Daphnia pulex: one gene and its partner. The protein of the gene in region 2 purifies or fractionates together with the protein of the main gene of each other region. This does not show direct contact. Links are inferred from orthologs where the notes say so. Each region holds a gene or a part of one and is shown on either strand. Other genes may lie near its edges.

Evidence for each region.
Region 1: the proteins of tyrosine-protein kinase ABL1-like (region 2) and neogenin-like purify together in Drosophila melanogaster (affinity purification with western blotting; 3 studies listed by BioGRID). This does not show direct contact. The link is inferred for Daphnia pulex from reciprocal best matches to the Drosophila melanogaster genes Abl and fra.

Annotation. Positions count from the first base shown.
Region 1 is NC_060026.1:12,668,446-12,673,675, forward strand, and holds part of neogenin-like, read right to left. Parts: coding exon 4,997-5,230; intron 4,895-4,996; coding exon 4,369-4,894; intron 4,289-4,368; coding exon 3,964-4,288; intron 3,872-3,963; coding exon 3,507-3,871; intron 3,335-3,506; coding exon 3,179-3,334; intron 3,108-3,178; coding exon 2,945-3,107; intron 2,876-2,944; coding exon 2,681-2,875; intron 2,470-2,680; coding exon 2,428-2,469; intron 2,279-2,427; coding exon 2,105-2,278; intron 2,023-2,104; coding exon 1,768-2,022; intron 1,365-1,767; coding exon 1,281-1,364; intron 914-1,280; coding exon 243-913; 3' UTR 1-242.
Region 2 is NC_060021.1:8,612,326-8,618,855, reverse strand, and holds the start of tyrosine-protein kinase ABL1-like, read left to right. Parts: upstream 1-2,564; 5' UTR 2,565-2,986; intron 2,987-3,062; 5' UTR 3,063-3,105; coding exon 3,106-3,292; intron 3,293-3,307; exon of another isoform or gene 3,308-5,000; coding exon of another isoform or gene 5,001-5,082; intron 5,083-5,916; coding exon 5,917-6,168; intron 6,169-6,277; coding exon 6,278-6,530. UniProt on the Drosophila melanogaster protein: Arm and Abl proteins function cooperatively at adherens junctions in both the CNS and epidermis; critical for embryonic epithelial morphogenesis regulating cell shape changes and cell migration.

The sequences.
Region 1 (5,230 bases), on a different chromosome or scaffold from region 2:
AAATCAGGATCGATCATTCAAATTAAAAACAAAAACAGCTGCAGTGAAAAAAATTAAAGAGTTACGAGAAATACGAAGATAATCGACAGATGAATTAAATGAATTCAACCGACTGGCCTGGACTTATTTCTTTTCCACTCGATTACCGTCTAAATGGGGCAGTAACAGGAAGAAAGAAACGAAAAATTGAATTCAGTTTGTTGTTGTTGTTGGCGAGTTACTACTACGAATTATCTTTTTCTTTAGCAGCCGAATTCGTTGGCAGTGATGGCGTTCAAGTCCTTCATCAGACCTTCCAAATTGGCCATCTCCTGGTTGAGCTCCTCGGTGCTGTACGAACTTTGAATGATCTTCTCCGGCGATTTGATCAGGTCGTTGGCGCCAGATCGGACGCCTCCGCTGCTGTTGGTTTTATGGAGAGGCGGAGGTGACGTGACTGGGCCGCTCGCCAGGGCCTTCTTGTAGGGACTCGACTGCGCCGTCATGGGGTTGACCGATTGGCGGTTGTTGCCGCTGTTTGGCGAGACGATCTTGACGGGCGGAGCCGATTGCGGAGGCGGAGCCGGAACCGTGAAGCTCTTGAGCGGATGACCGAGTTGAGTGTTGCGTTTGGCATCGGCGACGGCCATGAGAGCCGACGACGGAGGTGCCATAGACGGCGGTTGGCCCACCATCATGGCCATATTACCTGGCGGCGGATGGACGAGACTGGAACGGCTGTCATAGCTGCCCTGACTTCCATAAGTCGGCTCTAATGGCGGAGCGCTGACGTCCACCGTCACGTGAGCCCGGCCGCCAGCAGAAGGTCCGGCCGACGGGTAAATTCCAGGGCGGGGCGCCGCCGGATAGACGGGCCGGGAGTCGCTGTGTTGATTCAGACTGCCGTTGGGGATCGGTGTCACCGTTGCCACAGCTGTTGGCCCGCGTGAGATAAAAAAAGAGAAGACAAACAAAATAAAAGTTTAGCAATCAACCGGTTCAGTTGCACATAAAAAGTAAATGGGACGACAACGACAACAACAACAACCGGATGAGAAAAATTTTTATGGGAAAATTATGAAAGCAGACGACAGGAAATAAGCAAAAGAAGACAATAAACGTACAGAAATAAAATTAAAGTTGGGAGGGGGAAAAAAATAAATAAAAACGTAAGAACTAAATTTGTAAAAATAAAATGAGCTCCAGAAGATTAATGAAACGACCAACAAAAGATAAAACAAAAAAAAAATTTTTAAAAGGAGGGGTAGAAACTGAAAAATCGGATAACGGTGTATACTCACGTTCGCGGACAGGTTGGGTGGTGGTAGCGACACTAATCAAAAGGCTCTTGGGTTTAATGGGACGCCTGAGTGAGTTGCTACTTCCTGCGTAGGGTTTTTTGTTTATTTTGTGTGTTTGTTTGTGTGTGGGATGGGCGGGCGGGGTAGTAGGAAAGCGAGTGCGGGTCATCAAGGGGATTTCAGTTGATTTTTTTTAATGCAGAGGTTAAAAAGAAAAAAAAATGCAAAATGATAAATAAATAAAAAAAAAATTAAAAACCAAACAGAAAAATCAAATAATTGCAGAGTTTCAACAGAACCGAGCAAAGCCATGCACAAATTAGATCAAAAATTAAAAATAATTCAAATAAACGAAACCAAAAAAAAAAGTAATAAGGCCAAAATCAAATGGAAAGCAGATTTCATCTAATGTGAACAAAGTTGACGGAAATGCAGAAAGAAAAAGACCAAAACGTCATCGACTGATGGCCATGTCTCCCCGACATACCTGCATAAGCTGTCACGTAAGCAGCCCGGCGATCGAGCGAGTCGTTGGCTGCCGTGCTGGGGCCACGACCGGCAGTTGATCCGGAGGCCATGCCGTCCAGGGAGTCCAGGTCTTGAGATCGGCGCATGTTGAGAGGTGAGACCGTGTTGACGGAGCCGGAACGGTGCAGGGATTTGTCTAATCCTTTCATCTCCATCTGGTCGTGATGGATCCAAAGGTCGGGTGGGTTGTCAGCCTTGCCCAGTTTGCCTGGACCTGGAAAAAATTTAAATTGTTAGTAATGATAACGATAATTTGACACAATCAAAGTCAAAAGAATTCTGGCCAGTTTTATTACCGCCTTTGACGTTGCCTTTGACGTAGCCTTTCTTGGAACGATCCGGAGAGTTGGTCACTCCGGAATCTCTGCGGCGGAAGACAACCACCAGCACGACAATGAGGAGGATGACTATGATACCAGTAGCGATACCCAGGATGATGTACAAGGTCATACTGGATATGCCTCGACTATCTGTTGAGTTGAAAAGGGACGGAGAAAAGAAAATGAAAAATTAAGAAAATTCCGGATGGATTAAAAGATTTCTATAAACTAAAAAAAAAAAAATGACTTTCAAATCAAATAATAATGAATGCAGGAATCATGCTGCTAAAGGAATTTACCTCTGCTAACCGGAGTAGCGTCGTGATAAGTCATACCGTTGCCTAAATTTTAAGACCACAGGGAAGGACGGTAAAATAAACAAAACGAGAAAAAAAAGGTTGAATAAAACAAATACTCGGATCATGCCAAACGATAATGAATCAATTGATAAAGACTACTAAGGGGAAAAATAACAATGAAATGCATCAACAAGCAAAATCAAATAATAAAACAATCAAAACGATTTAAAAAAAGAAATGAGCAATGACGTACTTGGATTGGTGCGGAATTGAATAATGCTGGAGAAAGGGCCGTATCCTTTGTTATTTCTGGCCTGGATTTTGATGAAGTATGCGGTATCTGGTGTCAGGCCTTTGATGGTCGTGGTCATCTTATCCCCGACGACACCTTCAACCACCCAGTCTCGATCACGCTGCGAGCTGTCTGTCGTGTAGAAGATGACGTAACCTGGAGAACAAGATTCATTCATTCGTATCATTTAATAACAAAAAAGAATTAGCCTCCTCCGATTCTTACCGGTAATTTGACCGTTGGGTTGCTTGGGCGGCTGCCAGTTCAAGTTAATGGCCGACGGATTCTCCTCGACCGGAACGACCGTCAGATCGCGTGGCGGCGACGAAGGAGCCGCTTCGAATGTTGTGTTTGGAACCACCAAACTCCAGGGACTTTCTCTACGATTCTATTTGAGATTTTAAAAAAATAAATTAAATAAACACTTTTCTCAAAATAATTTAAACAAATGTTTTTTACCTTGATGACTTTAACGGCGAATTCGAATTGAGTGTTGGGTTTCAAATCGTCCAGCATGCAATTGAGCACTGTCGAGTTCATGTAACGGTAGCGCGGATTGCTCGACGTGTGGCTCGAAGTGTACCTCACGACGTAGTACCGCGAGTCGGCGACAGTCTGAAAAAAACAGCAAAGAGAAATTTTCGGTTACAATTTTTTGGGGGAAAAAAGTAAAACCGCAATTTTTCCTTTCCCTTTCGACATTACACCAGAAATGAAAATGAAAGTTTCGTCCTTAAAACATTCAAAGTTGTTTGGCAATGGCCATTGCAATTTTAAAGTAGTATACCTGACTGCGAGGCAAGGTGGTATCCGTCCAGTAGAGGACGACGGTGGTCGACGACAACACAATGGCTTTCAATCCGACGGGCGGAATGAGGGGACTGGGCGGCTCGGGGGTTGATTCCTCGCGCGTCCGCACCGTCTCGTAGATGGGCCGCCCGTCTCCCATTTGATTGTAAGCCCTCAAACTGATGACGTACTCTGAATTGGCTTCCAGTTTCTCAATGACGAACGCCCGCTGCTTGCCGTCCACCAGTTTCGAATAAACGTCCGGAATGCCCTTGCCCCAGCCGATCGTGTAACCGCGGACCATGACGTTCTGGTTGCTGGGCGGATTCCACGAAACGCTAATCGAATTCGTCATCGGTCGAGCTGGATGGAGGTCAACCGAAAATTGTCACGTTTTAATCATCCGAAATCTGTTTGATGAATTTATCGGCCCGACCCGAGTTATTTATTCTTACCTCTCAATGAGCTGGGCGGCTCCGGCACTTGGCTCTCGTCCAGGTCGTTTTCGAAAGTTTCGGCCGTCATCCATTCAGTCATGGGACCGGAACCGTTGACAGTTAGGGCAGAGACACGAACTTGATACTCGGTCCCGCGCACGAGTCCAGTCAGCGTGTAAAGCCGTCGGCTGCCGTCCGTCGTGGCCGTCGACCCGGCGTTGGACGAGCCGGGATTCAAAGGCAAACGTCCACGCCCAGTTTTGGGCTTGTAACGGATCTTGTAGCCGGTGATGATGCCGTTCTGATTCTCCAACGACGGCGGCTCCCAGCGGACAATGACGCTCTGATTTTGAATGAATTAAAAACACAATTCAATTACAAATTTGAGCCGGAATTTAAAAAAATTAAAAAATAATTTCATACCGAAGAGCTGGCCGGTTCGACGACGACGTTCTGTGGCGTGTCGGATGGCAGATCGGACCAGGTCCTGGCGGTGGCCTCTTCGGTGCTGGTCCCGGGTCCATTGTCGTTGAAGGCGACGACCCAAACGGAATATTCCGTGTAGGGTTTCAGTCCGTGAATCAAGTGGCTCGTGTGACTCGTCACCACTTCGTGCTCCTCGGCCGACCCCACTTCCATGTAGAATAACTTGTAATTGCGGATGGGCAAGTGTTGTCCGCCGTGAGGAGCTCCTCCACCGGCGGCCGCCAGATCCGGCGACTCCCAGCTGGCCATCAAACTGACGGACGACACCGCCTGGACGCTCAAATTGGCCGGCGCTTGGAGGACGTGCGGCTCAACCAGAGTTTCCACTTCCAGTGAATTGGTGCTGGCTCCGGCTCCGGCTTCATTGAAAGCTGCCACCCGCAGTGAATACTTTTTGCCCGGCTGCAGTCCAGGGACGTTGACTTCTTCCAATCTCGATCGGCTCGTATTCACCACCCGTTCCCTGGGAGATTCAAAGTGAAAATGAAAATTGATTATCTAATCGAGCGGATACACAAAAAAAGGGGGGCCATTAGACGGGCCAAGTGGTTTGGTTGGTCCCTACCGCTCCGATCCTTCCTGTCGGTAGAAAATGGAGTAGCCAATAATTTGTCCGTTGGTCCTGACGGGCTCCTTCCATCTGAGCGTGACGAAGCGAGACGACACAATCAGGGCTTCCACATCCCTGGGCGCCGACGGCAGTGACGACGTTGACCCGTCGTTATTACCGTCGGGCGTGATCGAACCGTCCGTTTGGCTGGACTCGGACGTCTGGTCGGGTGGTGGCGGCACAGCAGCG
Region 2 (6,530 bases):
AAAACGTTCGACTCGGCCAAACACAGAACAAGATAAGCCAAGAAAATGAAACAATAATGTTGGTGTGGACACTCACCTTAAGATGTGGTCTTTGTCTGGATGGTGGCTGGACTAAAGATGTTGTTGAATCAAGGTGTGTGTGTATATGGAGTTGCAGGATAGCAGACGAGTCACAGAAATGTTAAGAGACCGCTAGTTCATGTGACCTCGGACGACGTGGTTTTTCATAAAAATAAAAGGGGGCAACGAGTGGAGCTGCAGCACACACCAACAACACACCAACCCACTCTGGTCTCTGCCGCCGCCTTCAGTTCGGTCTTGCAGCTCACGAACGACAACGGTCCGGACACGTTCTGCCTCAGAACACTATACACACACATTCTGGGTGTCTCTTGCCTTTTGGCTTAGTTCCCAACCTGCGCGCGGCCCATTCTTTTTTTTTTTGGTCAGGTGATTTAGACATCTAGCGGTCATTTGAGCAAGTTTCAACTGTCAGTCAATAGGTGGCGCTGGGGAGTCGAATCGTAAACAAAAACAATCGTGTTTGTTTGCATGAAAAAATCGAGAACAACCGTTCGTTCTTAAGGTTTCTCTTGGACACATCCGTACGCCAACACACGACACGATGTGTTTAAAACAAGATCGTTTGCACCGGTTGGTACACACGCACAAACTGTGTGGCGTTGTTTTTCTCTGGCAAACAAACGAAAAAGGGGGAGAAAAAGGAAGACCTTCCCCAGTCAAAAACCGGGAAATGATTCCAGCGACCGGGAATCCTCTCCTCACCTTTCTCGATATCCTGCTTCATTTTTTTTAAGTGAACACGACAGTTATCAAGTAGAAGAAGCCAAAGATGTTTCTCGGGGGGTTGTCGAATCAACGGGATATTTTGAATATGCGAGGGAGAGCTAAGAAGAAGCTCAGAACCAGGGCACGTAGAACATAATATACCGCAAAAGGGGTTCGTTCATCCCTTCTCCAACCCTGGAAATGAGTTATTTGACGTAATGTCAATATATTAAGGCAACGGTCCACAATATGTTGACAACGACTTCTTTTTTAAAAAGAAAAACTCTTGCAGCTACAGCACTGTACGGTCCGTGTCCAGTGGGCGGTATATTACGTCAGGGTGCGCTCAGGACGAGCCAAGAAAACCCAGCTGACATTCCAACCCCGAATCTCCTGTACACATTCTTATGGGGACAGAAAGAATTCTCTATCAGACGCTTGTTCAGAAAACGTCATCCGGCTAGCGCAGAATCGATACACAAGAGACGCGGAAATGAGCTTGACACAAGTCACATAATGTGTGCCGTTGTCCTGACAATCTTCCTTTACCAAGTGCCAAATAGACAAGAAAAACGTGTCGAACAGAAGAAGAAAAAACCAGAAATGAATACAAATTTGTTGGGTTTTTATCGCTTCCAATGTTTCCGACAACTACACAATCTTGAGAGACCCGTTCAGGACGGCTGCAATCCGTTTAGAACTTTTAGATATGACATTCTTCTTCTTCACGGGGGCGAAATGTGATTATCTGCGCACGATGACTTTGAAAGCTGCTGGAAATGTTTCATTTGAAATTGTTGGAAGGCAGGAAAACGATGAGGCTTCTGGGATTTTTTTTAACAAAGAACAGAAGGTATTATACAGAGACGACTGTTTATATTTGAACCAGTCAAAGTAGCTCAGAAAGACTGGGGGCCTGCTTAACAATAGCTAGCTCTTTCAGCAGCAAAAGAGTTCCTCTCTATATCTCTCCCCCTCACTCAGTCATTCAAAAATGTCGGTTTGGAGTTTTTCGAGTGATGAGGAAGGGAGAGGGGTTCCCTGTCCGTTGAATAGCCTCAGCACGTTCCAGCTGGAACGATCTATATATACGAGCCCTATAGCTGAGAGGGCTCGAGTCGTTGCCAGTGTGTGTGAACATTGTCTGGAGGTAGATAACAAAATCCCTGTGCCTAATTAGCGCGTTAGTGTTACACAAGAAAGACGAAAAGGAACCCAGCAAAAGTCAAAAGGAACATCGTCACTCGTCAGAGTCTTTGATTTCCCGAGGTCAGCAGCATCTCCAGCTGCTCGGCGTTGAAAAGATAAATGCATTTTAACACAAATCTTTCTTCGCGGTCTCAACTTTTTTGTTCTTCAGCAATCAGCTTTTCTTTTTTTTCCCGGAGCAGAGACTAGAACACAGTTGGATGTAATTTGTTTGTTCAGCAGCAGGGTTCGCTAGATCTAAAAGTCGCCAGATATCTCATCGTGCATCTCCAGCAAAGCGAATCGAACGAACGACCGCGATTGTGTAACGCGCCGGCGTCAACAGCAGCAACTCTGTAACAATGAGCTAGACTCTTTTTCTTCTTCCACTGGTATTCTAATATGAAGACACAAGGAGGAAATCTCAATGATAATTAAAAAGACAGCAACACGAGACGGGTTACATGGGTCTTCCGTTTCGTGAAAAAAGAAACTGTGACATTTGATGAGAGTAGGAAACGAGTACGACGAACTTGTTTTTCTTTTTCTCTTTTTAATATTCAGAGTTCGGCAACGCTGTTCCGCTAGAGCTGAATTTTGTAGATGGCACTATGGCAGCCATACACCGGGGGCTGCTGGAGTGAAGTCTCTCGTATTTGAAGCTTTTTTAGTCCGAGACGTTTTCTCGGTTCACCGTTGACGTTGAAACCAAAAAAGAAACACACCCTCGTTTTTCAAGTCACAAACATTAGTCGTTGTTGATCGGGTTTTATTGGAATTTGGGTGTGCCGCAGTATTTGTTTTTAATCAGACCTGGATTCAGCATAGTTGTGTGTGTGTGCCGTCGCCCTTGGAAGAAATAATCAACACAAAAGCCTATAGCTCTTGTCTGCTATAGTCTTTTTTACCCTCAAAGTGTAACACTCCAGTTTCGTTTATGCCGTTTGTCTCCATCGCCTGTCATCACAAATGATACCTATCTAGACAGAACTGATAGCCCAGTTTGACTGTAAGTGGATTATTCATCACACACACAGCAGAGAGCCTGACCCCAAGACATAACCATCTGATTCATCCTCTTTCAGTTTGCTGCTCTTCCCAGCTGGCGATGTGCATACATTCAGGGCAATGGGAGCCCAGCAAGGCAAGGAACGTGAGCGGACATCCACAGCAGCTGGCTCCCTGCACTCGCTCACCCTCACATCTACAGCTGGTTCTAGACCGGTGAAGCCAAAAACCAACTCCTTGAGACCGGCCAGGGAGAACTCTTCAGCTACTCGTTCTCAGGCCTTCAATGTGTTTGTCGAACACAATGGTATGTCAATTGTCTGTTTATCTTGCCACGATACTCTTGTGCCGTCAACCAGGCATGTGGTTGTTTGCTCCTGTCAAATGAGTTCATGCCACTGCAACTTGCAGCGATCCAACCTTGAGAGTGTGAATATGAAAACCCCCTTGTTGTCATTCCTTTTAGAGTTTTTACTAGGCCATGGAAACCAAACCTACTGCTAACCTACATTCGCCCCTGGGTTACTGAATCGCTCCGTAATCGATAGACTAGATTATGCAATTTGATTGGTCACACAGTCTGCATTCGCCACCGTGAGGTGTTGTTGTGGTTGATCTGTCACCATAGTGACAGGGCAGTCCGCCTACTTTCTATGCAGATCTGAAATCGCTTGTTGGAACTGGTGCGACTCAAATTATGCACACGAGGCCAGAGAACGTCAGATAATTTATTTATGATTCGACCCACGAGAGACTCGGTTTGTCAGGTGATTTTCGTTCAGGCTTTTCCGTCTATCGTGCCAACTTTGCATCAAGAGAGAAACCGTGAGAATTGACATAGTTCGTTCGGTTGACACACAACTCCAAAACTCCCCTTCAACTCCCAAGAGTGATAGATGATGACGAAGAAGAAGAAGAAGAAGGAAGAATCATGGGGAGGTTCAATTACTCAGAGTGTTTGGAGACCGGAGTCACGGGTATGGCGCCCGTCTTCCTCCTTCCAGATGCCTCTTTCCGTTCCAACGAAAGAAAAAGAAACAAATTCCCAACTTAATCTGATTAGTGTACAAGAGACTCGGTTCTCCCATCTCTCTCGCACCAATGAACGGGCCAAGAATCGCTCTTTTAAGTCTTTGTGTGTCTGTGTTGTGTTGTCGGAATGGCATTATTGCAGCTTTCGGATACGACGAGGCTCTTTAACAAACCGTCTGGACGTTGTCCTAAAAAACAAAACAAAAAAAAATCTGGCATTTCGGTCTGCGATGCTCTTTTCTTGGCTTCCTCATCATTTTTCCCAGCTGCCATGTGAGATTGCCTTGGACGCCAGAACCGTGTCCATTGGCAGATGCAATCTCGTCAGTTTCTTATTCATTCATTCATGTTTTGAAAGTTTTATTTCCTTTGACTTGTTGTTGTCTGTCAGAAAAATTACATTTCTCTTCAATTGCTGAGAAAATGGGATTTTTCCGTGCACTTACTACACAACCACAACAACAACGACGACGATTTTGATAAATCGCATGCAGGGTGCCCTGGACCACTACGCGTTGCTCGTATGTGTGTCTCTCTCTCGACCAGCAGCGACCGGAACGCTGAAAAATGACGGCCAGATGTCGTGCTGCGTTTCAGGAGTCGACTGTGGGAGGGACCTGAAAGGGGCCACCGCAAAAAAGAAAAGAATTAAAGAGAAAAGAGGAAAAAGAAATAACCGGTGGTGCCTCGTCCAACCGACGATTCGTTCTAATCACGAGCCGCAAAAGGAGATGAGGGGAAATTCAGTCTCTCCAGTTACTCGTCACTGGACGGACATTATCCAGTCCTTTCTCGCCCTCTCCTTTTTCGCTCTATGCGTGAGGTGTAGTGAACTGTAGTGTGCAGCCTAGAAGAAGAAGTAGTTATCTGGTTTCGGTCAAAGTTCCTTTTTCGTGAAAACCAACCCAAAAAATTGCCAAAAAAGAGAAGAAGAAGAAGAAGAGTCAAAGAAGACGCTGCTGCTGATTTGGTCGGTTTGCGCCATGTCGAATCCCGCCCTCTTGCCGCCCTCGGTCATGCGGCTCCTTCAGATCCTTTATCCTCCCGGTGCCAAGCCTCGACTTGGTAAGAACCTCACAAGTTACAAGCAAAAGTAAAAAAAAAAAAAAAAGTCAAGAGTCAGCCATTATTGATCGGCTGCTGTACCTTATTATTGATGTTCCGCCTGACTTATTCCTTTCGATCCTGTTTGTACTGACCAAATGCTGCGGGTCGAATTTCTGGAAACGGATCCTATCCGCCACGGAAGATTTGACTTATTTACTCTCAATGAACCCGTCTACTTTGGTGTAATCATGTCCGCTACTTTTTGTTGTTGGTTTTTTGAAACGAGAGAAACGATCTAGTCGTGTCGGGGAGTGCCAATTTAATCGTGAAAAATGCGGAGACTACAACAACAGTTTGCGTAGTTGGCAACTTTAGGGAAACTTGTAATGGTAGCCGTTGTGGAACAAACAGATACTTACCGAACAGCTGTTGTGCCGTGACGTCCGACCGGTTAACTGAGGTCAAAACGTGAAGATTTTTCAATGTCTTATTTTGAAAACTAGCAATTTCTAATGCAAATCCTTCGTTAACGACGGTATCTGGGGGGATTATATGGAAGAAAAGAAAAAAAGAAAAGAACACGACACACAACAGATGAGGCCAGCAGCTTGTTGGAACAGGGGCGAATTAAAAACCGGCCCTGTCTTGTTTATTACCGTTACATACACTGTGGCATTGCGTGCCATTGGCCTAGCGGTTTGAATAGTTTCCATATGAGGGTCAGACATCTTGCATGTTTCGTTCTGATTTCTCCCTTTGTTTTTGTTTCTCGTGTTTTCATTTATTTTATCTTTTTATTGTATTTTATTCTTTTTTTTTGTTTTGTTTCCTTCTCGATTGTGTGTCACACAGAGGCATTGTTGCAGAACCGGCCACTGCCAACGCTGCCCGACTTGGCGACGGGCACGTTGGACATGGACGGTGGCGGATCGTCGGGACTAGGAGGCGGCCACTGCGGTACCACCTTTAGCCTTGAATCGGCGCACCGATGGACGTCGAGAGATAATCTGCTCCATACCGAACCCGACGATGAAGACCCGCAACTCTTTGTCGCTCTTTATGACTTTCAAGCTTCCGGCGATAACCAGCTCAGCTTGAAAAAAGGTGCCGCTTTAAAAATTTTTTCATATCAACCAGACATTCAAACGTTATTTTTTTCTTTTCCCCTTATTTTTTAAATCTCTTTTTTATTATTATTATGATCATTCTGTAGGCGAACAAGTGAAAATTCTGAGCTATAATAAAAGTGGAGAATGGTGCGAAGCTCATTCGGGTTCGGGCAGGGTCGGCTGGGTCCCGTCCAACTATGTGACTGCTGTCAATTCCCTAGAGAAACACTCTTGGTATCACGGACCAATCTCCCGCAATGCAGCTGAATACTTGCTCAGTTCGGGCATCAATGGCAGCTTTTTGGTTCGGGAATCGGAAAGCAGTCCCGGACAACGATCCATCTCACTCCGTTATGA